3 linked regions of the Anolis sagrei genome follow. The protein of the gene in region 3 interacts with the protein of the main gene of each other region in a pairwise test. Links are inferred from orthologs where the notes say so. Each region holds a gene or a part of one and is shown on either strand. Other genes may lie near its edges.

Region 1 (10,163 bases), on a different chromosome or scaffold from region 3:
AAGACAGATCAATTTCACAGTGCTGAAATTTATTCAAGTCAAACTGCTTTTTAAGAAAGAGCCAACTCAACAGCAGAGAAAGTGATTGTAATCTCTATGTAAACAATTCACATTGTTTCACATCCTGCAGTCTTTGTAGAAGAATATGAAAAATTGCTTGATAGTTTTTTTTTGTATTCACTATAATGTAATCTACATGATGTAACAGTTTAAGCAACAGATCAGTACTGAAACAAGCATTACTTTAAATACTTGGGTCTTGAACCACTTAGGACTTTCTATATGATATTATCTTGTATTGAGAATGGTAGAATATTGTAAAATCTGGGATATTTCCAAGATCAGTGTTCTTATGGAATATTTTTAAATGACTAGATGGCATTGATTTCTCCCCGAAGTTTCAGGAAAATGTGTTGCTTTTGTATATATTATTTCTCAAATCAAATCATTTATTTCAGTCATAGACTAGCACAGGAAATAAAAGTCAGAATTCAATATGAACTTGGTATGTTTAGTACACTTAAAATGTAAATATAAATACTGAAGCACAATAGGGGGTGAGGGAGCAAAAGGGGAAACACGGTTAAAACATACAATGTGGAAGATGATTACTGGACACAGAGTTAACTTTTGGACCAGTCATCCTCTGACGGATTTTGTATACTGCTGCACAAACTTTGCAACATTGTAGGTTGTAGCTGAATGAGTATCTACAAGTAGCAGGGAGGTATAAAATTGCCCCATATTATTTTTGTTATTTTGTATATTTTGTACATCTAACTTCTAAAAAGAAAAGAAAAATGTGTCAAAATAGCCATGCTGGCTGGGTATTTTGGGGAGTGATAATCCAACAAGGTAACTCTTCCAGTCTATGATAAATAGCAACCAATAAGGAAGTAGAATTTATATTTCCTGTATTGTGCAACGAACCAAGGAACAATCAGAAGTACGTCAAAAGTTGATGCTGTCCCTTTCCTTATTGAACTTTACTCTTCTTGGGTGTGTATTGCCATTTAGTACATTATGTAACACAGTGTTTATTCCTGGGTTATAAATGACATTTCCTAATTGGTTCTATCATAAAACCATGGAAAAAGTTTATCAATTTGCAAAAAAGTTTGTTTTTGTGGGACATCCTGCAGCATATTTTGCTATGTTTTTTCAATTGCGATCTCATAGAGTCTCTGTCAATTCAACAGTTTGTGGCAGTCACAAAAACAACGTTTCCAGAGTATAACAACTACTTTCAAAGTGAGTTCCACACAATTAAACAGGAAATAAAACTTTCAAATGAGGAACTTTTTTTTCAAATTTGTTATATAGTTTTATTAACCCAACTTTGCATCCCTTTTCAAACCACCCTTACCCATGTGGATGATTTTGGAGCATTTCTGATTTCCAAATAAGGGTTACTCAATCTATATTTGAATTCATAAGGTGAGGGTGGGGGGACATGTAGAATAATCTTGTTCATTGTCCTTGCTCCTTAACACTTTCAAAAAGGAACACATAGAGATGTACCTGTGCAAGCTCTTCAACCACAAACTCTTTTGGGTAGAAGGACAGTCCTTGCTTTGGACAGATGAAGAATTGGCTGATAGAAGCCCAACCACCGATGGGTACATCTACCCTATTGAACTGAAGCAGCTAGACAACAGTTGAACTGTGGCTCAAGACTATGGAATCATGTGAGTTGTAATTTTACAAGGGCTGCATCTACACTGCATCATGCTACCCCTCTATTCTGCCTTCATCAGACCACACCTGGAATACTGTGTCCAATTCTGGGCAATGCAATTGAAGAAAGATGTTGACAAGCTGGAATGTGTCCAGAGAAGGGTGACTAAAATGATCAAGAGTCTGGAGAACAAGCCCCATGAGGAGTGGCTTAAAGAGCTGGCATGTTTAGCCTGCAGAAGAGAAGGCTAAGAGGGGACACGATGGCCATGTATAAATAGGGAGGAGGGAGCAAGCTTGTTTTTTGCTGCCCTGGAAACAAGGACATGGAAAAATGGCTTCAAACTACAGGAAAGGATATTCCACCTGAGCATTAGGAAGAACTTCCTAACTGTGAGAGCTGTTCAGCAGTGGAACTCTCTGCCCTGGAATGTGGTGGAGGCTCCTTCTTTGGAGGCTTTTAAACAGAGGCTGGATGGCCATCTGTCAGGGGTGCTTTGAATGCTATTTTTCTGCTTGTTGACAGGGGGTTGGACAGGATGGCTCATGAGGTCTCTTCCAACTCTATGATTCTACACTGCTGTATTAAAGCAATGACATCATTTTAGCTGCCAAGGCTCAATGCTATGACAGTCTGTAAGCTGTATTTGGGTGAGGCACCAACAAACACTCTCTGGCCAAAAAGTATTAAGACCTTGGGAGCTTCTACACTAGTATTTCACAAACTTTGGTCTTCTAGGTATTTTTGGACTTCAGCTTCCAGAATCCCTGATCACTGGCTCACAAGCGTCTTGGAGTTCTAAGTCCAAAAACACCTGGAGGTGTTTGGGAATTATTAATCTACATGAGTGGAGTCCAATCTTTGATCTTCCGGGTGTTTTGGACCTCTGCTCGCAGAATTTTTTACCATTAGGTGAGCCAGCCTGGGCCCATATAATGGTAAAAAAAATCATAGTTGGAAGAGACCTCATGGGCCATTCAGTCCAACCCCATTCTGCCAAGAAGCAGGAAAATCGCATTCAAAGCACCCCTGACAGCCATCCAGCCTCTGTTTAAAAGCCTCCAGAAAAGGAGCCTCCACCACACTTCAGGGCTGAGAGTTCCACTGCTGAACAGCTCTCACAGTCAGGAAGTTCTTAATGTTCAGGTGGAATCTCCTTTCTTGTACTTTGGAGCCATTGTTCGGTGCCTTAGTCTCCAGAGCAGCAGAAAACAAGCTTGTTTCCTTCTCCCTATGACTTCCTTCACATATTTATACATGGCCATAATGTCTCCTCTCTGCCTTATGTTCTGACGGCTAAACATGCCCAGCTCTTTAAGCCGTTCCTCATAGGGCTTGTTCTCCAGACCCTTGATTATTTTAGTTGCCCTCATCTGGACACCTTTCAGCTTGTCAACAACACCTGGAGGGCCAAAAGTTGGATGGCACTGATTGATATTGTAGTTTGACACTTTAGCTGCTCTGGTTCAACGATATGACACCCAGGGATTGGTAGTTTCACAAGCTCTGTAATTTTCTCGAGGGCTGGTGCCTCACCAAACTACAACTCTCAAGATTCCCTCACATCGTGACAGTTAAAGTGGTGCATTCATCCTACAGTGCATGCCTTGCAAAGTTACAATGCCCATACATAGCCTTGAGCTAGAGCAATTGAGCCATTCAACAAGATAGGTTCCTTCTAAGTAAATGGAGAAGTGAAAAGACTCTTGAATCATTTTAGTCACGCTCCTCTGGACACCTTTCAGCATGTCAACAACAGCTGGAGGGTCAAAGGTTGCATGGCACTGATCTATACTGTAGAATCAATGCAGTTTGACACCACTTTAGGTGACCTGGCTCGATGGTGATATCTGGGGAGTCTCAGTTTTACAAGTTCTGTAAGTTTCTCTGTTAAAGAGGGCTGGTGCTTCACCAAACTACAACTCCCAAGACTCCCTCACATTATGGCACTTAAAGTGGTGCATTCATCTTACAGTGCAGTGCATGCCTTGCAAAGCGACAACGCCCATAGATTGCCTTGAGCCAGAGCAATTGAGCCGCTTCCATTCAACAAGGTAGATGCATTCTAACTAAATGGAGAGGTGGAAAGCCCAGGTTAGGAAGTAGCCCACCGGATGGACAGAGGGAAAATGGGAAAGGGTCTCACCTGGTCGTGAATGAAGGCGGAAGCTCCTCTTGTTTTTAAAATCTAGACTAAAGCAGGGAGGGGGAAACAGGGGGGGGGGGGTTGAGAAATCGAAAGCACTCAGAGAGTTCGGTTTCTGTTTACTTTCCACACAAACACCTTTCTCCCTCTGAGAATATTGTGCTACGTAGGCATCTATGACCACAAGGTGCAACAATTACACTGTAGATTGAATACAGTTCGATACCCTGGCCCAATGCTATGGAATCCTGTGATTTGCAGTTTGGTGAGGCACTACAATTGAAGAGAGCTATTGACAAGCTGAAATGTGTCCAGAGGAGGGTGTCTAAAACGATCAAGGGTCTGGAGAACAAGCCCTATGAGGAGCGGCTTAAAGAGCTGGGCATGTTTAGCCTGCAGAAGAGAAGGCTTAGAGGAGGGTCAACAACATCTGGAGGGTCAAAGGTTGCATGGCACTGATGATGTGAGGAAGTCGTAGGGAGGATGGAGCAAGCATGTTTTCTGCTTCCCTGGAGACTAGGATGCGGAACAATGGCTTCAAACTACAGGAAAGGAGATTCCACTTAGACATTAGGAAGAACTTCCTGACTGTGAGAGCTGTTCAGCAGTGGAACTCTCTGCCCTGGAGTGTGGTGGAGGCTCCTGCTTTGGAAGCTTTTAAACAGAGGCTGGATGGGCCATGTGTCGGGAGTGCTTTGAATGAAATTTCCCTGCTTCTTGGCAGAATGGGGTTGGACTGGATGGCCCAGGAGGTCTCTTCCAACTCTATGATTCTACTAGAGGAGGCCAAAAGACTTTGCAAAACAAGTCCCAGGAGCACAGCATTCGATAAAGATCAGACATATCTGATGTATCTCCTGAATGACCACATCATGTAAACCCCAAGATTCTATAGCACTCAGCCATGGCAATTCAGGTGGTGTCAAACTGCATTAATTCAGAAGTGTAGATGCATCCATTAGCTGGCTGAACTCGTAAGGGAGGAGTGGGGGAAAAGCGTGTTTTTGGCTCTAGAGACACCTCGGCCATCAAACCCTCCGAGTGACCTTCGACAATTCTTTCAGCATTCCCCCTGTAGACAAACATTGCCAAGAAACCCCCGTTGTAGGGTCTCAGCCTTATTTTGGAAACAACAACTATGGAAAGCCTTCCCCAGAGTGGGCACCCCATCAGTTTGTAGTTATTACCTTGTTCGAATTGCTGCTCCGCTTCGTTGCTTTCCACTTCCCTCTGTTTGGCTCAAGAGGAAAGCAAAAGGAAGAGAGGGGTGGTTTACGGGAAGGGCGGATCTGGGGGTGGAGATTAGGTGAAAAAAGCCAGCCAGGAGGGACGGGGGAAGGAAGGCCAGCGAGGAAATAGGCGTCAACAGGCGACCCAAAGGAGAGAGAGAGAAGAGAGAGAGAGAGCGCCTGGGAGGCAGACAAAGCAGAGCCAGAAATGCGATTAGTCCGGCAGCGCGGAAGGAGGCATTCCGGCGTCAAGGAGATGATGTCAGGGATGGAGCCCGGCTGGAAGCACAACGCGGCCCCTAGACGTGCTGTTCCTGTTCGGATCCAAGGGCGGATGCCAACTCCAGGGTGGGAGTCTGAGGAGGCTACGCTTCCCCTACTCAGGGTTTGCAGACCTTGGGGATTATCACCCCCCCCCCTTTATTATTTTTTCACACAAACATAAAATAAACGTAGACACCAAAGTAAACAAACAAACAAACATAATAAACTAATCCAATACAAAAATGACTTTATAATATTCCCACCTTCATTCCTAGCAACTGGGACTTTGGCGCAGCTGGCTGGGCGTCAGCTTCATTAAAATCACTACTGACCAAAAGCCAGCCCAGGTCAGAGTGAGCTTCCGACCAATTTGTGTAGCTTGCTGTCGACCTTTGCAGCCCAAAAGACAGTTGTATCTGTCAAGTAGGATATTTAGGTACCGCTTATGCGGGGGAGGCTAATTTAGGACACCATAAAAATCTCTAGCAAGCATGCAAAGAATGAGGAAGTATTGGGTTGTTGTAGGTTTTTTCGGGCTATATGGCCATGGTCTAGAGCAGGGGTCCTCAAACTAAGGCCCGGGGGCCGGGTGCAGCCCTCCAAGGTCATTTACTCAGCCCTCGCACAGGGTCAACCTAAGTCTGAAATGACTTGAAAGCACACAACAACCCTAGCTCATCAGCAAAAGCAGGTCCACACTTCCCATTGAAGTACTAATAACTTCATATTTGTTAAAATTGTTATTCATGTTAATTATTGTATTGTTTAAAGTGTTTTTTACACAACCAATAAGATATGTGCAGTGTTTAAAAATAAATGAATTCATTCATGTGTGTGTGTGTGTGTGTTTGTTTGTTTTTTTTCAAATTATGATCCGGCCCTCCAACAGTTTGAAAGACTGTGACCTGGCCCTTTGTTTAAAAAGTTTGAGGACCCCTGGTCTAGAGGCATTCTCTCCTGTTGTTTCGCCTGCATCTTTGGCACGCATCCTCAGAGATAGTGAGGTCTGTTGGAACTAGGAAAAAGGGTTTCTATATTTGTGGAATGACCAGGGTGGGACAAAGGACTCTTTGAAACATTCACACCTAGCTCCAGCAGACAAGAGTCCTTTGCCCCACCCTGGTCATTCCACAAATATAGAAACCCTTTTTCCTAGTTCCAACAGACCTCACTACCACTGAGGATGCTTGCCATAGATTCAGGCGAAACGTCAGGAGAGAATGCCTCTAGACCATGGCCATATAGCCCGAAACACCTACAACAACCCAGTGATTCCAGCCATGAAAGCCTTGGACAATACAACAAGGAAGTACTTCATCAGTGTTACAAAAGGACAGTGAAGTGACAGCTTCCCTGGTGGCCAGAATACCCTCATAAAAGAGCTGGAATGTTAAATAGCCCCTGTGTGTCTGTCTATATATGTTGTGTTTCTATGACCTTGAATGTTTGCCATGTATATGTACATTGTAATCTGCTCTGTGTCCCCTGCAGGGTGAGAAGGGCGGGATATAAATACTGTAAATAAATAAATAAACTTAGGCCCCTTCCACACAGCTGCATAAAATCCACATTGAACTGGCAGTGTGGACTCAGGTAATCCAGTTCAAATCAGTGTGGATTATCTGCCTTGATATTCTGTGTTATAGGGCTGTGTGGAAGGGCACTAAAACAACTAAACTCCATCCCCCAGAGAGAGAAGGGGGGAGGGGGGAGTTTAGTTATTCTAGGGCCCATCCTCACCAGATAGATAAATAGATGGAGGTTGGTTGTTTTAGGGTCCTTCCATGCAGCCATATAAACCAGAATATCAAGGAAGATAATTCACAATATGTGCTTTGAACTGGATTATCTGAGTTCACACTGTCAAATATATATACATACACACACAGGGCTGTGTGTGTGTGTGTGTGTTAAGGGTTTTAACTACAACCCCCCCCCCCCCGCCAAACCTGGTTTACTCAAGAATTTTAACTGGTTAACCAAGTTATGAACAAACCAGGTTTCTTTTTTAACCTGACACATTTCAAGGCAGGGTTGAACTCCCTCCCTCCCCCCCCCCCCCCCTCCCCGAGCTATGGCCCTACCACTGACTTAGTAAGCATTGATTGTTGTGCGCTCCCAAGTAACAGAGATTATGGGATTTCATGGGAAAATTTGCCCAGATGAGGTTTCTGCCGAAGCTGGGGCCCCTTCCTCACAGCTGAAAAATATCCCACATTATCTGCTTTGAACTGGAATATATGGCAGTGTGGATTCAGATAACCCAGTTCAAAGCAGATATTTTGGGATTTTCAGCCTTGATATTCTGGGATATAGGGCTGTGTGGAAGGGCTCTGAGAGAGTTTGACTTGCCCAAGGTCACTGAGGGGCCCCCTAGGGCCCTTCCACACAGCCCTGTATCCCAGAGTATCATGGCAGAAAATCCCACCTTTTCTGAGTATGGACTCAGATAACCCAGTTCAAAGCAGAGAATGTGGGGGCCCTTCCACACAGATGAATAAAATCCCATATTTTCTGTTTTAAATTGGAATATGTGGCAGTGTGGACTCAGATAACACAGTTCAAAGCAGATATTGTGGGATTTTCTGCCTTGATATTCTGGGATATAGGGCTGTGTGGAAGGGACCTGAGGCTGAGAATGTGACCTGCCTAAGGTGACATGCTGGGTTTGCAAAGATGAGTGGACATTTGAACCCTGGTGTTCAGAATCCTGTAGTTCACTTTACTATGCCAGACCGGCTCCAAACATAGGTAATGTTAGGGCTAACCATTAAGCAAATGAAGCAAGGCATCAAGGTAAGGGGATACCATACAAACTTTGCATTGCCAGGTTTACCATGGGTCACCATACAGTGCAAAACTGCAAATGATGCAGCTGAACAAGATTCCACCAAAAGGGGCCTCGACAATAAAAAGACTGCAATTATAACAAGTAGGAGAAAAGCTTTTAAATATAAAGTGAAAGGATACAAAATGTATAATTATTTTACTGTAAGTTTTGTTTCATTTAATTTCATTTAAATTTAAAATTTTAGTTTACAGTTTATCATTGTTTACATTTTGAATTAGATTTATGTAGGGACATCAAAATCTTTTAAGTGCTTATGCTTCGGTCACTAAAGGTCAAATCAGTCTATTTAGTCCAGGATTCCAATCACATAGCACCCAATCAGCTGAAGTGCCCCAGAAACTCATATGCAGAGGCATGCTATCTGGTAGTGTTGGCTAAATAAGAATCCTCTTATTAGATTTTCCTTTTCCCAAAGAGTGGTATTCTCCTGACACCAGAGTGCTTTGTCTTAATGGAAACTGGCTGGACAGGAAGGCTGTGTTGCCTTGGGAAATTATAGAAATAATTTCATATATGTATGTGAAAAATATTGTGATTGATATTATGAAAGAGATGCAAATAAAAGAAGAGAGAAGCAGCACATTTTTCATATACAAATGCATATGCATGATTTATCATTAGCATGTCTTGTAGAAAGAAGTGTGTTTTGCATGTTGCTTGCTATCCAAAAACTATGTGTAAAAATGTAAAAGAATAGTCAGATGACAAAGTAGATGAGAACATCTGATTTATGCAGAGCTCATTGTGTTTGATCATATATCACTAGACTGCTGTCCTTCACATATCCTTTATCCTCTCACACACAACTTCTTCAGATCTGGCTAGGCATTCAGATAACTGGACCAGGGAACATTATTGTATAACTTCAAGTGGTTTCCAAAGCAGCTTGAATTGGTTGGATGGAGGTAATGTTTAACTACAGGTTAGGATTAGGGCATATATACTGATTTCCTCACCATGGCACTATTTGTCTTTGGTTGTGGGAGGATTGCATGCTCCTGTAAAGCAAGAAGCTATGCCGATGACAGCAGTGCTGCTAGTAGGGTCTCCTGTGTCAGATAGGCTTTTGCTAAGCAGTCAGGCTAAATGTGCGAGAGAGTTAATTGTTATCAGAAGGAGTGGGGTATGGCATTGGTGGAGGATGTCTCAGAGACAATGGAAGTGGTATCATTGCTCATACGAGGTAGTAATGCACAGAAGGAGGCACAGTAAACCCATTTTGAATGTCGTTTACCATGACAATCTTGTAATGGGACAATCCAAAATGAAACAAAAAGCCATTGACTTTACCTTGGAGGATGCAAAAAGACATTTTCTGCAGGCAAAAAGAGGCCTCACTGGATAACAGGTGAAATTCTTTTAGAGGTTATGGACACAGAAGAAGAAGCAAAAAAATGAACTGTGGTAGAAATAGTGCTAGAGTCAGCTATCTAACAACTTGTCCATCAGATTGTAATAACCAAGAACTACTATAGTAACCAATGCAGAGAAATAAAAGGTAACAAAAAATGAAGAGAAGAAACATCATCAGTATTAAAAGTGACCTTAAGTAATTAGCTTGCTGGGCCCAAATTAATTAATGTATTATTTACAGTATTTATATTCTGCTCACCCCGCAGGGCAGATTACAATGTACATATACATGGCAAACATACAATGCCATAGACACAGAACATATATAGACAGACACACAGGGGCTATTTAACATTCCAGCTTTCATGAGGGTATTCTAGCCACCAGGGGAGCTGTCACTTTTTGTGACACTGTTGAAGTACTTCCTCATTCTTTACATGCTTGCTGGAGATTTTTATGGCATCGTAAATTAACAAAATGAGTTTCAACAAGGAGAAATGTAGATACTACACTTAGGTGGTGATGAAGCAAGCGAGGTGGAGACTAGAGTGACGTTGGAGGAAAGCTCGAATTGAATCTGACTGAGCATGGGCTAGAGCAGGCATGAGCAAACTTCAGCCCTCCAAGTGTTTTGGACTTCAA
Region 2 (10,277 bases), on a different chromosome or scaffold from region 3:
AAGTTCTTTCTCTCACCCTGGATACTCCACAGATATATAAAGGTTTAGCACAGCTGTTAAATCATCAGCAATTATAAGGTCTATCAACCAAAATGTTGCAAGTTCGAAGCCCTGGGTTGGCGTGAGTTGCCAACTGTCAGCCTAGCTCATTGTTTACCTAAGGAATTTGAAAATAGCTTTAGCTGTGATTAGAGAAATTAGATACCGCCAAAAGCTGGGGGGGGGGGGGTGTTTTATGACGCCATAAAGAAAAAAGATCAGAGAATTCTGGGCAATCAAAAGGAAGGAAGAAGTCCTGATGGCTCTTCGTCATAGAGGATAGAGCAACAGCATGTCCTGAACTCAAGCCCAACCTTCCATGGCGCAAAAAACAGCTGGACACTGAGTCAAAACAAACCACCTCCTTCGGTTCTGTCTGTCTGTGTATTGTCTATACAAAGCAACATTGAATGTTTGTCGTGCATGTATACTGTGATCCAGTGAGAAGGACGGAATATAAATATATTATTATTATTATTATTATTATTATTATTATTATTATTATTTTCCTAGTTTCCAACAGACCTCACAACCTCTGAGGATGCCTGCCATAGATGCAGTTGAAACATCAGGAGAGAATACTTCTGGAACATAGCCATACAGCCTGGAAAATACACAACAACCCAGTGATTCCAGCCATGAAAGCCTTTGACAACACAAAGAAAATGCAATTTTTAATTACAAAAAATGAAACTTGGGGGAACTGGATGCATCTTTAGCTTTTGTGAGACAACGTATAGAATTGCCCCACCCACCTGTAACATTTATAAAAGAAAGGAAGAACAAAAGGAAAATGCCAATCTGCTTCGATCAAGCTATCCAGTTTTATTTTATTTCTTACTCAATGATTTTAAGGGTCATACCCTATTGTTCCATGCTACCTGTAAGTGTTTGCTCATTGTGAAACCAATGACCTTTCCCTCACAGCAAAACAAAATAGACCACCCTACTGAGCAAACAAGTCAGGAGGAAGTGGAAACAACTTCAAGAGAAAGACTGAAAAGGGGAATCCTCTATCCACAAAATGAGGGGGTGGTAGGAGAAAATAGGACCATGATGGTTCACAAGAATTCACTGGTATCTTGGCAACTTCTTTTTTTCTATTCTGTGTGTCTTTTCTTTCAATTCTACATTTTGTGACTGAGAGCAAACTAATTGGGACAATAAAGTGCTACACTGCTTCTGGTATATAACCAAGCAACGTAGGAAGGCAAATGAAAAACTGGATTCCTGCCATCCAAATTGGTTTATTGTCCACTAAGGATTTACTTGTTTAGGGATTTCCATTGGGGAATAATAAGGAAATGAGCTAGAGAAAATTTAATATAATTCGAAGACAACAGCTTACAACACATGATCCCCCAGTGACTTGTAAATGGCCAGGCTGCAATCCTATACCCTCTTGTTAGAGTAAATCTCATTAAGCTCAGTAGATTTACTCCTAAGTAGACATGTATTGGATTGTGCTTTTAACTGCCAATGTATTTAACGTACAAAAAAAAAGGAAGAGTGGAAAATTGTAAAATGACACAGACATTTGTTATTGTTTAGAACTTGAACTAAAACCTCCCAATACACATCTACAGACCAATTTTTTAACATTAGTTAGTTTACAAGATTTCTCTTTGGGAGTGTTAAAAGAACTCCAAACACATTTGTGTATGTGTGTGTCTGTACACTTGAAATCTATCTATCAAGAGATTCATTATTCAGGAAAAAGGATATGACCTGTTCCCCATTTCTCAGCATAAGCAATCAACACAAGATGTCCTCTATCTTCCTTTTAAAGAAATTTAAAACGTTTCCAAGCCATTTAACAATTTGAACAGGAAACGTTTGGATGTAAGCCTTTGCAGAAGATTTTCATAGTTAAACTGGGTGGGGAGTTTGCATTTATTTTTAACAAGCACTATTCAGATGTAACTCGTGAAGTAGACTAAGGGCATTATCACATGAGGTTTGAGTCTGAAGCTCCCTGGCCATGAAGAGAAGCACCTACCATCCCATAAAATCATTACAAAGTCACCTCAAACCAGTATTCAACACATGTCAAAGGACTACTTTTTTAAAAAGGTGAATCTCTAGTTTTAGGATAGCTGATCCTACTTCTGGTGACTCTCAAATATCTATAGAAGATATCAGTTAGAAGGAGCAGTAACTGAATGTCATAATAACATGGGTGTACTAATTTCATTTTCCCTCACATCCATATCAACATCCTACAGGGATCCTGAAAGAGGAAATGTTCACAGGATCTTTCCCATTAGTACTAGTCTGGTTAGCAAAATGTATTTTAAATGTATTATTTCTGCCTCATCTCTCAGTGGATATCTAGGGCAATTCACAAAATAGAGCTAAAATCATAGCATAAAAAGATATAAATTACAGGAGAGTTGATGATTGCATAACTAGTTTTGAAAAGACTAATAATTGGTTTGTTGTTTATTCGTTCAGTTGCTTCTGACTCTTCATGACCTCATGGACCAGCCCACATCAAAGCTCCCTGTTGGCCATGGACACTTCCAGCTCCTTCAAGGTCAAGCCAGTCATTTCATTTTCCCCTAGCATCTTATCCAAACTTTCCTGTCTTCTCATTATGTGGCCAAAGTACTTTGCCTCTAATATCCTTCCCTCAAGTGAGCAGCCAGGCATTATTTCCTGGAGTATGGACTGGTTTGATCTTCTCGCGGTCCAAGGCACTCTCAGAATTTTCCTCCAATACCACAGTTCAAAAACATCTATCTTCCTTTGCTTAGCCTTCCTTATGGTCCAGCTTGCACATTCATAGGTTACTACCAAGAATACCATTGTTTTAACTATGCAAATCTTCGTTGCCAGTGTGGTGTCTGTTCACTATTTTATCAAGATTGTTCATTCCTCTCCTCCCAAGAAGTAAACGTCTTCTGATTTCCTGGCTGCAGTCTGCGTCTGAAGTAATATTTGCACCTAGAAATACAAATAAATGGATCCTAGAGCAAATCAAGCCTGAAACCTCCCTAGAAGTCAAGATGACTTAACGGAAGCTGTTGTAATGAAAATACATTACTCTATTTTTTTTAAAAAAAAAAACAATAATGGTAAGGTAGATAGAAGTATCGCTCCAGCAGGAAGGTAATGGCGCTCCATGCAGTCATGCCGGCCACATGATCTTGGAGATGTCTACGGACAATGCTGACTCTTCAGCTTAGAAATGGAGATGAGCACTGCACCCCAGAGTCAGATACGACTGGACTTAATGTCAGGGAAAAAACTTTACCTTTTTAGATAGAAGTAGGAAAAGAGGAGACCATATATTCCAGAAGGTTTGACTAAAGCTGGATTTACACTTCCATATAATGTGGTTTCAGAATGCAGATTAATTGCATTGAAGTGGATTGTATGAGTCTATACTGCCATATAATCAGTTTCAATGTAGTTAATCTGCATTCTGAAACTGCATTATATGGCAGTGTAGATCCATTCCTAGTCAAGGAAATCTAAGCAGATCTATTGAAGATAAGAGAAGTCTTTCATTCATAGGGTTGCCATAAGTCAAAGTCAACTTGAAGACAGGTAACAACAACAACAAAGAGTTTACTACTGCTAATCTTGATCTCTTGGCAGTTTATCATTCTAGTTGATACAATGCTTATTATTTACCATTGATATTTTTAAGGAAAATCTGTCTAAAAGCATTAAAATGGTGAAAAGCCCCAAGTAATGAGAAAGTAATAGGAAAAAGTAATGAGCAAACACAACTAAGCACATAAATTAAAAAACTACTCCATAAAGTGGAGTCCACGACATGCGAGTGTGGAGAAGAGCAAACCACAGACCACCTACTACAATTCAGTCTAAGCCCTGCCACATGCACAATGGAGGACCTTCTTATAGCAACACCAGAAGCACTCAAAATAGCCGGCTACTGGTCAAAAGAAATGTAGTATAATGCTAAGTTTTTTAAACTTTGTGTTTTTTAAAATTATCACAACTGTACCCTCAGTTCGCTTCTAATATGACAAATAAAAAAATATGATAAATAAATTACTTCCAAGCTTAAAAACAGCATGCAAACTTTTTAATTTTTTTTAAACGAAACCTATAAAATAAAACTGAAGTAGGAAAATTTTATTGGAAATCTAGAAATTAATGATAAAACTACCATAGTGTTATAGCATTGTTATCTAGCTATCTACTGTATCTGTATAAAAGAAGACAAATACAAACTTTAAAAAAAATTAAAGCATTGAAAAACTCAGGAGAATTTTTTAAAAATTGCATAAATGTACTTTGCTGGATTCTCTTTATGTCCTTCTAATGCAAGGGGATTTAGTCACAATCCATATTAATCCAGTGGGATCCACTTGGTGTTTTAACCCACCTGTGTCTAAAATCAGAGTAAATGTTACATTTATTTCTCCCTCTTTCTCCTTTAATGATCAAAATATTTCATTCTTTGTATTTATATTAGGAAAGGCTGAGGCTGATTTCTTGTTTTTACTTGAGAAGAGTATAAACACTGAATAATTTTTGATCTGAGGCTCTGATTTCTGTTGGATAAAGAGATGTTATGCTTGGATATGTACTCATAAAATTATGAAGCAACTGAGTACTTAGACACCGGGGAACAGGCAGGAAAAACAAACACAGTCAAAGCAAGGTGGAAGGGAAGTGTTAAAATGAATTATTTTGCTATCATTTATTTTAAAGAGGGTCTTCGTCATGCTTTGGACACCACGAGAGTTCCACATTTACAAGTGTCTGGGGTATTAAAAAGGATATAGCAGGCATTCCATCGCTTATAAAACTGTAAAATAATTGTTTAAGCTCATTAACATTATATGTTGCATATATGGCATTCTCTGTCAGGATAGAATCTTACGCCATCCCAGACACATCTGTTTGCACATCTGATCTTAGAAGAGAGTTAACAGCTGGAACAGGAAATGGAACAGTCTAGTTGTCTTCCCAAGACTATTAGGGCTAACTGCTAATTAAATACATTTTAGTTGATGGTTGGTTTCTTTAGAAAATGTGAATAAAGAAATGCTGTTCAAGCCTCATCTACACTGGCCAGTTAATCCAGAACCAGTCTGTAGCAGAACCAGTCTGGTCCGAGTCCAGAGATTGCATCAGCCCTGCTGGACCATCACCTTACCATTCATGTTGCTGTCCTTCATCCCTGTCCTTCTTTCTGGTTATGCAGGCACCTTTGCTGATGCAAGCAGGTAGTGCCTGCATTGACCAGAAATTCATACAGAGCTCATCTGATCCTCTGGAGGGCACAACAGCAGTGACATGGGCCCAATCCATCTCCTGCCCAGATGAAGTGGAAAGGGAAAAAAGAGACTTTGAGTTGTGGTTGCAAAGAAGAGAAGATGATGGAGATGGCAGAAGGGAAGGCAGAAGGTGCAGCAAGTGATCGCAAGATGCAAGAGATGGCCTGTGGGGCAGCATGACCCACATTTAGGAACTTATTCTGATATGTATTGTCGAAGGATTTCATGGCCAGAATAACTGGGTTGTTGAGGGTTTTTCGGAATGTAAGGCCATGTTCTGGAAGCATTCTCTCCTGACGTTTCACCTGCATCTATGGCAGGCATCCTCTGAAGTTGTGAAGTCTTCTGATATGTTCATGCATCCATGACTTTTGGGCATCAGTAAGAAAACTGAAGGGAAAAACAAAAATACAAAAATAATGGACAATACAGTCCATTACAAGTGTCTGTCCATGACAAAACATGGTTGGTATTTTTCACATTATGAATATACAGAGGCAGCCCTAGGTAATTTTCAACAGTAAGCAAACTGTATTTTGGCACCACCCCCGCCCCCCAACCAATCATTGATATATATTTTCTGTTCGTCGTGAGAGTTCTGTGTGCCATATTTGGTTGAATTCCATCATTGGTGGAGTTCAGAATGCTCTTTGATTGTAGGTGAACTATAAATCCCAGTAACTACAACTCGCATATGTCAAGGTCTATTTTCCCCCAAGAGCATCTCAAGAGCGCCCCTGGGCAAAATCAACTATACTGCAAATGCTTACTTTGCGTAATGGGTTGAGCTGCCCCTGTGAATATACTTCACATGGTTCTTCTCCAACAAATAATCTCCACAACAATTTTGTGAGCTAGATTTGCTGAGAGGTACATAATTAGCAGAATTTTACATTGCATTCAAATGGATGGCCCCAATTTGAAGTGCTGGAATATGGCAACCTGAGTTTAGATGACATGATGGCTTGCAAATATTTCATAGTGTGCCATATCTAGCATTACCACTACACCAGTATGCAACTATGCCTACACAACCTGATAAAAAACCTGATAGATACTGTAACACTGCAACGATTGTGGGAAAGATATTCTTGCAATGCCACTTTGGATGTTGAACACTTTCTCACCATCATAGATGATGCCCTCTAAGCTGTGGCCAGGAAGCATGTGCTTCCAAAAGTAGCAACAAGTAATAGTAGTGGAGATTCATAGCATTCAAGGATTGTACAAGTGTTGGCAAGCAAACTTGTCTTAATATGTGGATCACAGCAGTTTAAAATTGACACAGGATGAACACAAATGCATGTTTATTACACAGAAATGGCCCGCAAAGCCCTGATATTTAAATGTTTTATTTAGAGCCATCACTAAAAGCCCCTCCACCACTTGTTGTACTTGAAGAATGGCCTCAGTCTGCGTCAATGCTGCTGCGTTCAGCTTTTATCAAGGAAATCCCCATGTCTTCCAACAGAGCAAATGTTCAAGTTTGCTCAGAGGAAGGATTAGTCAAAGGGCGAGGGAAGTTGTACATATCTGTGGTTTTCAGCCACTTACCTCCCTTGTAATTTAGCAAGATTGTGCAGAAGAATCGGTTGCTAGTTTTACTTTAAGATTAGCACAGAAATAGTGGTATCTTAAGCCCTGTGTTTAAACCAGTTCTCTTATGCAGACCGAGGGGAAAGCACCACAGCAATAGTAGTATCTTAAGTCTTGTCTTTAAACCCAGCTCTCTTCTGCAGTGGTACTGTATCTTAAGTAACTCTGATGTTTTTATTTTGTATCAAAAGCATTTCATAAATTAGTATAAAACTGATAAAAATAGAGGGAGCACAAATGGATAAATATCTTTTGACCAAAATGGACAACAGCAACCACATTGCCTCAAACAATTCTTCATCTGTACATGAGGCAGGACATTGCAGACAAGCATACAGATGCTGAGTTGTCTGTTCTGCTCCACAGCCTCACAAGTTGGAGAATTCTTTTAGGTCGTGCCATTTTGCCAGGTTGTCTTTTGATCTGCCCACTCTACTTCTGAGTCTGTTCAGTGACTTCCAAGTTGTCAATTCCAGGTCATAATGAAAGATCATAAGGACAAATCACGCCATTGCCAAAAATGATGGGAAGAGGAGGGGAATCTCCCCCCCCCCCCACCGCCGCCGCCCAATTGCATCCAGATAAAAGAAAAAATGAAATAGTGGGGCTGGGCACTGGGCTGTGTGTGTGGTATGTGGAGCATCTTTGATGTTTGGCAGGAAGGAATGGTGGCCTGCCCTGCCCTGCCTCCCTCCTGCTGCTGCTCCTGGAGAAGTTAGAGGGTGGGGAATGTTTTTAAGGAAATTTAAGGAGATTTTATTTCTAGAAAGAAAGAAAAATCCTAAAAAATTGAGAGATGACCCAAACATTATAAAACCTGGGATAAAAGTGGTAGATGTGCCCTCCATGTGTGACTAGCCCTAAAACTGAGGGAAAGGGGAGACTGGGGAAGCTTGCCCATAGTGGCCAATGGGTCAAAATTTTTCTTTCTTTCTTTCTTTCTTTCTTTTTTTTGGATACGAAATGAAAATGCCCATTCAAAAAGGCAAATGGGGGGCTTATGAATGAAACAAACAGAAACGGATCGGGATTCTATACAAATGCACAAGACTAATAAATAATAGATGGTTACTGCATATATACATTATAATGGAGCATTTCTATATTATCTATTCATCTCTTTAGAATGTTATAATTCTTTTCACTTTTTTCCTCTTTTTTTCCCTGTCCACCACACACCCCATATCCCTACCACGTTTTCCTCTTTATTTTTTTATCTTTAACCATAAACACAATTTTCTTAGTCTTTGTACAATATTGGTGTTGGCTTCCTCACTTTCTATACATTCCATGCACATCAACCATTTCTCTTCCATTTCTTCCATCTTGTCCTCCTACACACCAATCAGATTCTGTTTGTCTACTTTCTATCCATTCTATGTAGATCAACCATTTCTCTTTCATTTCTTCTGTCTTGTTTTCCTGCATATCAATCAGATTTTGTTTGTCCAGCTTGGAAAGTGCTGTAATAGGAAGGGATAGAAGAGTTAAATGCCTGTGGCTTTTTTGTAGTCAGAAATATCAGTACATCTTTTAGACTGAACTCCTAAGCACACATTTATTAGAGGGAAAGTCCAACTGTATTGGTACTGACTTCTCAGGATTACAAGACTGATCTTTAAATAAATGTTACTCCGCACCTCCAACTTTACACCTGAAAGCCAGGAGAGATATGACCAAGCAACTCTAGTGTGTGGTCAAGATGGCAAAAAAAAAAGATTAATAAAAAATAACACCAAGATAGGAGAGGTTGCACCAGCAATATATATTTTATACACAGTGAGAGGGGGGACTTATACTTCAGAGTACCAGAGTGACTTATACATTGTTCGCTTTTGCCTGAGTGAACTGGAATGGGCAGCATTCTTCTCTGCTGCCTGCTGTAGAATTAACTCAATGCAAGCTTCTCCTGCAACTGAAGTAAACCTAGAACAAAAGAAAAAAGGAGGAGAAGGAGAAAGAAAATGTGACATTTTAAAGTAGTTGAAAAAAATGAAATACAGAAGATTAATGTGGAGTGGCACTGCCAGATCAGGATAGTTGACAGTATGTTTACTTTGATACTAGGGATAGAGGTACATATAAAATAGATTTCATCAGTTAAATAAGTTAAGCTTTTGTTTACCTGTTAAGAGTGGAATTAATTAATCACAAAAAACCATTTTAACTGAATAATCTAGTTGGGGTTTTGTTACTATGACTCTGAAATACCTTCTGGTTACTGGAACTGATCCTGTGTTCAGAACCTAGGAGATGTTCCTTCTGGACTACTACTCCCAAAATACCAGGGCCAGCAAGGCCCCAAGATTCAAATTATAATTTGCTTCCACAACATAGAAGATCACTGACTGCTGCTGACCAGACTTTGTTATGGAAATTACAAAGTCCCCTGCCACGAGTTGCTGTGGCACCGTCTGATGACCTGGGAAATAAAGTAATCAGAAGGTGTTGGTTTCTTATATATGTGATTTCTTTATGCTTGTGGGTAAACAGTATTTCGTGTTGTTTCTTTGTCAGTGTTGATGTGGAGATTGTGTGGTTTGCCTACTCTGGAACATGCAACATATAATTGTCCTTCTTTAGGGGTCCCTTTCAAATCTATGATACTATATTTCTGTGTGTGTGAATCATATATATTATCTATTAATATCTATGGCTGGATGGCTCTTTGTCAGGAAGCTTTGATTACATTTTCTTGCCCTGGTGAAGGGAGTTGGACTGGATGGCCTTAAATATTTTCTGTTGTTCATGGGGGTTCTGTATGGGAAGTTTGCACCAATTCTGTCGTTTGTGGGGTTCAGCATGCTCTTTGATTATAGGTGAACTATAAATTCCAGTAACTACAACCCCCAAATGTCAAGGTCTATTTCCTCCAAACTCCATCTGTGTTCATATTTGGGCATATGGAATATTCATGCCTAGTTTGGTCCAGATCCATAATTGAATCTGCAGTGCTCTCTGGATGTAGGTGAACTACAACTCCCAAACTCAAGGTCAATGCCCACCAAACTGTCTAGTGTTTTCTGTTGGTCATGGGATTCCTGTGTGCCACGTTTGGTTCAATTCCATCATCGGTGGAGTTCAGAATGCTCTTTGATTGTAGGTTAACTATAAATCCCAGCAATTACAACTCTCAAATGACAAATCATGTTTTTTTTAGTGATGGTTACTCCTTGGGTTAGTAAGTGTCTTGTGGCCAAATTTGGCAGCAATTTGTCCAGTGGTTTTTGAGTTATGTTAATCCCACAAACAAACATTACATTTTTATTTATATAGATTTGTTAACTTATAAAGCTCTACACAGCTTTGGTCCAGACTACTTGAGACACCATGTCCTACAATACAGACCAGGCACACATTTAATGTCTAGCAAGGAGACTCTCA
Region 3 (10,088 bases):
TCTGGGTGTTGAGTGGATTGGCAAGCTTCTAGTGGATGTGTTTCTGGTCTGGTCAGGTCCATTGATGCATGTGTAGTTTGGTGGCAAGTCTGTGCATACTCCTTTTCAAAGATGTTCTGTGATTTCTTTTCATTATAAATATGAACAGCAACTCCTGGGATATTGGGCTAGATGTCAACAAGGATGAGTGCCCATAGCATTTACCATTATTGTATAATCTCTGGTTTAAATCCTCTATTTACAAGCCACACACACTGTTTGCACAGTCAGAATGTAGGTGACTACAGGGAATACCATGGCTTTGACTAGGCGGATCTTCGTTGCCAGTGTGATGTCACTATCTTCACTATTTTATTGAGATTGGTCATTGCTCTCCTCCCAAGAAGTAAGCATCTCCTGATTTCCTGGCTGCAGTCTGCATCTGCAGTAATTTTTGCACCTAGAAATACAAAGTCTGTCATGACCTATAAAACACTAAATGGTTTGGGATCGCCTATCTCCGTGATCGCATCTCCCTCTATGAACCGGCACGGAGTTTTAGATCTTCCAGGGAGGCCTTTTGCTTGCTCCCACCACTGTCTCAATTGCAGTTGGTAGGGACGAGGGAGAGGGCCTTCACAGTGGTGGTCCCCCACCTTTGGAACATCCTCCCCAGACAGCGAAGACAAAAAGGACTTGGAGACCTGGTGGTTCTGGCAGGCTTTTGTTAATGATTAGCCCCAGGTCTTACCCTGGCCAAGAGTTTAGGTCCTCGCTCTGCACTCTACCCACTTTCCTGGCCCTCTGCTACCTCATTGCCGTTGACCTGGCCTAGCTCTATTATAGGTCTGAGCAAACAGAATGGTCAGCATCAGAACTTGGAAAAACTCAGTACAGCCACCTTGTGGAAAGCAGTAGCCAAGCACCACAGCAAAAAAAGAATTCAGTGTTTGAAGATCTGAAATCTTGAAAGGGATTGGCGGGATTAAAGATTTGATTCTAGGTCCTGGAACATGGAAAACTGTGATAAGCCTCTTGAAAGGCAATTTTTACAAGAACGTAACCACCATGACGATAATTTCTGTCTAAATCTGGCTGCAACAAGAGGAAAAAAAAGGCAGCCAGGGGCAGCAGCGATCACCACTCCCTCTTTCCGCTATGATAACATCCAAGAGGGTAGGCTTTAAAATAACTAACATAACCTAAAGCCGATGCCAAAATAACTAACAAAGCATTAGTTCAATGCTAATGAGCAGAGCTCTTTGACTGGTGTAAGTTTAACAGCCTCAAGGCTTAATTAAACTTAAAATATATTTGCAGGGTCTCTGTTCTTTCCATTGATCTCTTATGCATGAATTTGGACGCTCGCTTGTTTCTTTTCCAAAGCACAGCTCCTCAGCAGAGAAATGTAATGCCTGAGAGGCTAATGATAGTTCCCCAACTCATTTTTATCTCCCAAGAGAACTGTTGTTCGTCTCGGTGAAACCAAAATTAAATGGCCATTTCCTTAATGTTGTCAGAGAAGGGGATTGGCTCCATTACATGGACCAGCGGGTATTAAGCAGTATATGGAAATGTAGTCCTAGAGTGCATTTAGACTGTAGTCTGATAGCACTCAAACTGCTATGACTCAATGGTATGAAATCCTAGGAGTTGTAATTTAGTGAGACACCAGTATTATTTGGCAGGCAGGACTAAAAATCCTTTAAAACTGCTACACCTATAGCACTGAGTCATAGCAGTAAAAGTGAGGTAAACTGCATTCATTCTACAATGTAGATGCTGCCTTTAAAAGAACTTTTGGCCCATGGCCACATTTAGCTGATGGATAACTACTGGTTGATATTCTACAGACCAACATGGAGTTGGATCTGGGAAATCAACCCCATATCAGACATGTAGCTCTTGGGCAGATCACCTCTGCTTCATAGGGTTGCTAGAAGGATGAAACACAGCACAGAGATCTAAGAATTCAATATCAAGAATTTGAAAAAGTCAGTTTGATAACCCTTACCAGATGCTTCATAGGTGGCACAAGGAGAGTCAATATATAATCAAACACTCGTTTCATTTAAAGCCTTGAATTAGGAATAGTGGTTCCTTAGCACCCTATGCAGCTTATCCTTTCAGATTTTTGTGTCTGTCCAATTCTCCAATATTTCAACTTCAGAATGTGGAGTTGTGATTGCTCTATAGTACTGTGTCTTAAATTATCAGTTTCAACCCCAAATGGCTCAACACAAAAATATAACAAGAGAAAAAGGTTTCTGAACACCACCCGTTTACATAAATCTCTTCGCAACAATATGCAGTGTTTACAGTTGACTCTGCAGAAAATGCTTCTGCTGTATCCATAAAAAGGAAAATCAGCCTGTTTAGCAAGCCTTACAAATGCTGATTTGCTATCAGTAAATGTTCGATATTTATATCTGTTATGTTTTATCTACCTATATACCCACAGTCACACAAAAAGTGGTCACAAGTTATAATGAGAGTTGTAGTTTAATGAGGCACCTGCATTCTTTGGCAGATCAGTCCAAACATCATATAAAACCATGACTCCCACAATTCCACAGCATTGGGATATGGCAGTTAATGTGGTATTGAACTACCTTAATTCTAAAGTTTAGATGCACCCTAGGATAAATATGTAGGATCACACCAAAAGAAAAATTTTGAAAAACACATTTTGTAAACCACATTTTACAGTTGCCATTTCCGTTGTATGCTTTGCATTTTAGACTGCATCATTTGGGTTGTATGCGTGTTTGTTCCTACTCCTATTTACATAAAATACATAAATATGTAAAACTACAAACCTATGCAAAATAGGTGTTGACTCCACTGTTATTACTGCATCAAAGTGAGCCCAGACAGCACACCTGGCTGGAAACACTTTCCTAGAAGAAAAACAGCCAAAATGAAACATTCCTTTCATCAAACCAACAAAACGAAAGGTAATAGCATCACACTGTTCAATAGAAGAGTAAGTAAAAGAGATAAAAAAGAAAAAGAAAAAAAAAGGGGGGGGGGGGAATCAAAGCATTACAGTATTGGCATTATTTGTTTTTACCAACAGTTTAAATATTTCTTTCTCAAATCAAAATTTCTGTCTTGACTTTTCTTAAGACTATAAGAATAGGAATCATAGATTAAAACATAGTGTGTGTGGGGGGGGGGGGGGGGGGGAGTTGTACTGTACAATGTGAAGTCCTCATGACATATTGTCATTCTGTTGGGAGAACCATCCAAGATAGATCCACCCTCTGATGCCAAAGGTGCATCTACACTGTAAAAATTGATGCAGTTTGACACTACTTCAACTGCCATGTCTCAGTGCTGAATATCAAGCAAAAAGTGGGTGCTAGAAATAATATCATACGAAAGCTGACTGGCACAACCTGGGGATCACCACCAGACACAGTGGTAGAAGAAGATAAACACGCACTGGCAGATAAACTATGCTGCTGAGTACGCATGCCCAGTGTGGAACACATCTCACCATGCAAAAACAGTGGATGTGGCTCTTAATGAGACATGCCACATTATCACAGGATATCTACACCCCACACCACTGGATAAATTATACTGTTTAGCCAGTATTGCACCACTTGACATCCGCCGAGAAGTAGCAGCCAATAATGAAAGGACCAAGGCAGTGACATATTCGACCCATGCTCTGTTTGGATATCACACAGCACACCAATGCTTTAAATCAAGAAATGTTTTCTAAGATCTACAGAGATACTCACAGGAACACCTCAGCAAGTGAGAGTCCAAAAGTGGCAGGCTAAAACCTGAAACCTCAACTCATTGCTGATACCAAATGGGAGACTCCCCCCCCCCCCCCGGGCACACAGAAAAATGGGTGACTTGGAAAGCACTGAACAGACTGCGCTCTGGCACCACGAGATGCAGAGCCAACCTTAAGAAATGGGGCCACACAGTGGAGCCCATGACATGCAAGTGTGGAGAAGAGCAAACCACAGACCACTGATCACAATGCAGCCTGAGCCCTGCCACATGCTCAATAGAGGACCTCCTTATAGCAACACCAGAGGCATTCCAGAGGCATTCCAAGTGGCCAGCTCCTGGTCAAAGGACATTTAATATTTGCCAAGTTTTAAAACTTTGTGTGTGTGTTTTTTAAAATACATTACAGTTGTACCCTTGGTTTGCTTCTGATATGATAAATAAATAGTGCTATTGAATCTTGGGAGTTGTAGTTTTACAATGTCATTGGCACTCTCTGCCAAAGAATGCCGGTGTAATGGTAAAAAAATGCAAGGATAACACCGAGTCTTCTAAAGTGGAAAAAAAACCACAGGATTTTATTTATAGCTTAAAAGAAAACAGCAGCAAACAGTGCTAAAAACAATGCGATATAGGATTTAACACTTTAAAAAGACATTTTACAACCCATTCCAAAGCGTATTTACTCGAGGCCAATGGATTTTGCAGTGGGTCTTATGATGTAATTTGATGAAGCACACTCTTCAGCAGAGAAGGCTGCAAGTGTTATAGAAGTGGGTTGTTGTAGGTTTTTTCGGGCTATAGGGCCATGTTCTAGAGGCATTTTTCCCTGACATTTCGCCTGCATCTATGGCAAGCATCCTCAGAGGTAGTGAGGTCTATTGGAACTAGGAAAGTGGGTTTATATATCTGTGGAAAGACCCGGTGGGGCAAAGAACTCTTGTCTGTTGGAGCTAGGTGTGAATGTTTCAACTGACCATCTTGATTAGCATTTGATGGCCTGGCAGTGGCTGGGGAAATCTTTTGTTGAGAGGTGATTAGGTGTGCCTGATTGTTTCCCATCTGTCATAGAAGTCTCCAAAATAGCAGAGTATTTAACAATGCAAAACGGGATACTTAACTGAGCAGTTAGCTCACAGCAATCAGAAGGTGCAGTGTTGTGGCTGTAAAAGAATTCTTGAGCTATGGAGGCAAAGATGCAAAGTTCAGTCCCTAAACTTGGGCCCTCCTGGTGTTTTGGACTTCAACTCCTACAATTCCTAAAAGCCTCAGGACCTCCCCCCCCCCCCCCCTTATCTGCTTAATTTGAGGCTGTTTGGAATTGTGGGAGTTTAAGTCCAAAATACCAGGAGGGCCCAAGTTTGCCCAGGCCTGGCCTAGCCTAATGCTATCTAGTTGCTTCTCATTGCCGATCCATCTCAGAGCCCAATTCAAAGTGCTGGTCTTGACCTATAAAGCTCTATACGGTTCTGGCCCAGTTTACTTGTCCGAACGCATCCACCCCTACGTCCCACCTCGTAATCCGAACGCATCCACCCCTATGTCCCACCTCGTGATCTAAGATCATCCGGGGAGGCCCTGCTCTCGCTCCCGTCACCAGTGCAAATGCGTCTGGCAGGGATGAGAGACAGGGCCTTCTCGGCTGTGGCCCCCCACCTATGGAACACACTCCCAAATGAGGTAAGATCCGCTCCCTCCCTCCTGGCTTTTAGAAAAAAAAATTAAAATCATGGTTTTGGGACCAGGCCTTCGGGCAGCAGAAGTAAATGTATGCAGCATTTCAGGAAGACAATGACTGGAATGGCGATTTGACGAACAAGACTGTTTATTGTTTTAATGATTGTTTTATTGCTTATGGATGTATGGTTTTAATTTGATTTATGTTTTGTAGTGTATAATTGTAATTGTTTGTACTGGCATTGAATTTTGCCATTACTTATGTGTAAATCGCTTTGAGTCCCCCTCGGGGTGAGAAAGGCGGTATACAAATACTGTAAACAAACAAACAAACAAATAAATAAATTGAGGACTGCAGACTTGAGCAGTGTGTGGTTGAATTCAAACAGAAAGACCTTGTAAAATTATAACTCCCACGCTCCCATGGTAGTTCAAAGTGGCACCAAGGTGCATTCATTCTGCAAGGTTGGGACGTCGGCCAAGCCATGGCAATTGGGAATGAGGGCTTGCACAAGAGTGGCGGCCTCCCACCCAAGCGAGAGCCAGCGCCGACCCTGCTTAGCTTTCGAGGCGCCTGTGCGTCCCTCAGCGCCGGAGGCCACGCCCCCTACCTGACCACGCCCCCTGACCCTGCCGGCCACTCTCGGCGTCCCATTCCCCTCAGCGGCGTCGCGGCGTGACGTCAGACGTCTCGACGTAACCCCTCTCCTCAGGGCTGCAGCGACAACAACAAGGAAGTGATTGAGCGAGGAGAGCCGTCCCTGCCGCCGCCGCCGAAAGCAGGAGTTGCCGGAACCGTCGCCGTGCCAGCCCGCCTTTTCCCTCCGCGCCTTTCTCGACGCCGCCACCATGAACAGCAAAGGTAAGCCAGGCAGGCCCCTTGCCCTTCCAACCCCACCCAGTCCCCGCTCACCTTTCGCAAGGGCGCTGTCCCTTTAAGGCTGGCGCCGCAGTCCCGTTATCTGCGGGCCTTGGACGTAACGGGCGGGAGCCCTGGCCAATGAGAGGCCTCGGGAAGCCGGGGTGAGGGGGTGGGGGGAAGGGCGGGTGTTCGGTTGCTATGACGCAACGCCTCTGCTCAGGACAGTTAACCCTTCCAGTGTGAGGGCCTTCCTGGCCTCGCTTCCTGGGGATCCCGAGGCACCGTCACGACTCAGGGGGTTGACTGAAGGCAGAGCGGATGCCTGCCCTCATTCTACAATTCAAGTCCGCCTGAAAGCTTTGGATGTGGATGAAGGGAGGAGGACTGAGGTTGGGGCCTTGAAAAGGGAAGAGGAGGATCCCGAAACTGCCTCTGTTCCCACCAAATGTAGATGGAGCTCAGTAGGGGCTTGTATTTCAGAGGAAGGAACGGGCAAAATCACCTCTTTAGTATCCCTTGCCTCAGGAAACACTATGACATAAACAGGGATTGCCATAAGACAGTGGTTTTCAACCTGGGGTCCCCAGATGTTTTTGGCCTACAACTCCCAGAAATCCTAACAGCTGGTAAACTAGCTGGGATTTCTGGGAGTTGTGGGCCAAAAACATCTGGGGACCCCAGGTTGAAAACCACTGCCATAAGACAACAGGCAAGGCGCTTGAAGGCACACAAACGCATAGGAAATAAAGCAAAACATAATAGCCTGCAAGGCCTCAGCCATAGGAAAAATGGAGAATGGGGGTTATGATCACAAAACTATCCTGTCCAGACTTATATCAGAAAATCCCAAATCTGTAATGATTTAGGCCAGTGGTTCTCAACCTGTGGGTCCCCAGATGCTTTGGCCTTCAGGTCCCAGAAATTGCAACAGCTGGTAAACTGGCTGGGATTTCCCCAAGTGTTGTGGCCTACAACTCTCAGAAACCCCAGCCAGTTTACCAGCTGTTAGGATTTCTGGGAGCTGAAGGCGAAAACACCTGGGGACCCACAGGTTGAGAACTCTTGATTTAGGCTCCTTCTACACTGCCGTCTGTTATCCAGATTATCTGCTTTGGACTGGATTATATGGCAGTGTAGACTCATATAGTCCAGTTCAAGGCAGATAATATGTATTCTCTGATTTAAGAATCTGGATTATATGGCAGTGTAGAAGGACCCTTACTCTACCAAGCAATCCCCTATCCCAGCGTTTCTCAACCTGGGGGTCGGGACCCTGGGGGGGGTTGTCAGAGGGGTCACCGAAGACCATCAGAAAACACAGTATTTTCTGTTGATCATGGGGGTTCTGTGTGGGAAGTTTGGCCCATTTCTATCGTCTGTGGGGTTCAGAATGCTTTTTGATTGTAGGTGAACAATAAATCCCAGCAAGCACAACTCCTAAATGTCAAGGTCTATTTTCCCTAAATCCACCAGTGTTCACATTTGGGCATATTGAGTATTCATGCCAAGTTTGGTCCAGATCCATTATTGTTTGAGTCAATAGTGCTATCTGGATGTTGGTGAACTACAACTCAAGGTCCATGCCCACCAAACCCTTCCAGTATTTTCTGTTGGTCATGGGAGTTCTGTGTACCAAGTTTGGTTCAATTCAATCATTGGTGGAGTTCAGAATGCTCTTTGATTGTAGCTCAACTAAAATTCCCAGAAACTACAACTCCCAAATGACAAAATCAGTCCCTGCCCCTCAAGCCCACCATTATTCAAATTTGGGTGTATCGGGTATTTGTGCCAAATTTGGTGCAGTGAATGTAGATATATCCTGCATATTAGATGTTTATGTGACGATTCATAACAGTAGCAAAATGACAGTTATGAAGTAGCAACGAAAATAATTTTATGGTTGGGGGTCACCACCACATGAGGAACTGTATTAAGGGGTCGTGGCATTAGGAAGGTTGAGAACCACCTACCTATTGTAATTTTGACTCATAGTTAAGAAACATATGAAGCAACAGGAAGTGAGAGAAATTTACCCCCAGGAAGGGAAATTCACTACAGGGGGAAAAGGTGTCCCCACTAAAGTTTTATCGCTGATCCTTGTTTCCACCACAACCCTATATTTTCAAAATCCAATTGACAGGGGTAGAAAATTAGGTGAAATCTTCCAAACAAGGGCACAGACAGCAAAACAAATCTTTCAGGAGTGTTAACCTTTATGCAAACCAAAACATATATATGCATGTATTTCTTTAAGTGGCTGGAGTTACAGTTTAAAAATGCACCTGTTCCTACTTAAAGACTAATTCAACTTACAAACTTACAGAACCTATATTGTCTGCAACTTGGGGACTGCCTGAATGTGATTCTAACCTATATGACATCACAAATCCAAAGAGATGGAACCTATGTGATAATGGGTGTTGTAGACTATATCCTGCCACTGAATGCCTAAACCAGGGGTCCTCAAACTTTTTAAACAGAGGGCCAGGTCACAGTCCCTCAAACTGTTGGAGGGACGGATTATAATTTGAAAAAAAATATGAATAAATTCCTATGCACACTGCACATATCTTATTTGTAGTGCAAAAACCACTTAAAAATACAATAATTAAAATGAAGAACAGTTTTAACACATATAAATTTATTAGTATTTCAATGGGAAGTGAGGCCCTGCTTTTGGCTGATGTGATAGGGATGTTGTTGTGTGCTTTCAAGTTGTTACAGACTTAGGTTGACCCTGAGTGAGGGCCAGGTAAATGACCTTGGAGGGCCGCATCTGGCCACCGGGCCTTAGTTTGAGGTTCCCTGGCCTAAACAATCAGTCTTACTATCACAAGAATATATCTGTCTGCTTTTGAAAAATCCACAAAAAATCTTGCTGCATTTGTACATCCCTATACTTTAAAGTTTAAAATACTATAGACAAAAAGGGGTCTCTCAAAATGACTTAGGTTACTGATAGTCTCTTGTAAAGCAGATAGCATGCATTGTCACAACCAGCCCTACACAGCAAAAATGCCTTTTAAGTCGCCCCTTAGAAGGTAATAAATGGGCTGCCTCATGTGATTTCATTTCAACAGCCACTGATATGCTTTCTTGTTTTTGTACCTCCCATAAGGAATTTGTTTCAATGTTGAGTTGACCTTCTCTAGCTAGGGAGCTGCTTAAACATAAGATTATTTCATCCTCTTTAAAATACACTATCAGCCTGATTGTTTGAACTCCATATCTAAACAAATTGTTTGAACTGCTCTAAATACTTTCTGAGCAGACGTCTTATCAATAGGAGGGTAGTGTAGCGTTTACTACTGAATTTAAACATAGCTTGCTATAAGGTGGATCTACACTGTAGAATTAATGGTTTGACACCACTTTAAATACCATGACGAAGTGTTATGGAATCATGGGAGTTGTAGTTTTATAAGGCCTTTAGCCTTCTTTGCCACAAAGTGCTGGTGCCCACCATACTATATATCCCATGTCCAATAGTATTGAGCCATGGCAAACTGCATTAATTCTACAATGTAGATGTACCCATAGTTGAGGCACAGGGAAGAGAGTTAATTAGGCCGCTATCCTGTATATATGTTCATCAAGTGATAAATCCCACTGAATTATAACTTACCTCTGGGAGGGATATATTGGATTGTGCTGTTAGATTTCGGTTGTTTTGCATGCTTCACTTTGAAATTAGCAGGTTAATGGAAGAAAAATAGATTTGGTATCTGACCATAGTAACAAGCAATTATTTTCTTTCTGACTTATTTATATTCCCCACGAGATGGCACTCTCCAGTTTTTAAAAAGTAACTATTGAC

The links. The genes of interacting proteins can lie anywhere in the genome.
Region 1: the proteins of DAZAP2 (region 3) and phospholipid scramblase 2-like interact in binary tests that used the Homo sapiens proteins (3 or more experiments, as listed by UniProt). The two-hybrid records come from large-scale screens. The link is inferred for Anolis sagrei from reciprocal best matches to the Homo sapiens genes DAZAP2 and PLSCR1.
Region 2: the proteins of DAZAP2 (region 3) and TNIP3 interact in binary tests that used the Homo sapiens proteins (3 or more experiments, as listed by UniProt). The two-hybrid records come from large-scale screens. The link is inferred for Anolis sagrei from reciprocal best matches to the Homo sapiens genes DAZAP2 and TNIP3.

Annotation. Positions count from the first base shown.
Region 1 is NC_090023.1:239,099,357-239,109,519, forward strand, and holds the start of phospholipid scramblase 2-like, read right to left. Parts: upstream 5,199-10,163; 5' UTR 5,012-5,198; intron 1-5,011. UniProt on the Homo sapiens protein: Catalyzes calcium-induced ATP-independent rapid bidirectional and non-specific movement of phospholipids (lipid scrambling or lipid flip-flop) between the inner and outer leaflet of the plasma membrane resulting in collapse of the phospholipid asymmetry which leads to phosphatidylserine externalization on the cell surface.
Region 2 is NC_090025.1:36,191,664-36,201,940, forward strand, and holds the start of TNIP3 (TNFAIP3-interacting protein 3), read right to left. Parts: upstream 5,199-10,277; coding exon 5,172-5,198; intron 1-5,171. UniProt on the Homo sapiens protein: Binds to zinc finger protein TNFAIP3 and inhibits NF-kappa-B activation induced by tumor necrosis factor, Toll-like receptor 4 (TLR4), interleukin-1 and 12-O-tetradecanoylphorbol-13-acetate.
Region 3 is NC_090022.1:192,267,677-192,277,764, forward strand, and holds the start of DAZAP2 (DAZ-associated protein 2), read left to right. Parts: upstream 1-6,075; 5' UTR 6,076-6,258; coding exon 6,259-6,271; intron 6,272-10,088. UniProt on the Homo sapiens protein: In unstressed cells, promotes SIAH1-mediated polyubiquitination and degradation of the serine/threonine-protein kinase HIPK2, probably by acting as a loading factor that potentiates complex formation between HIPK2 and ubiquitin ligase SIAH1.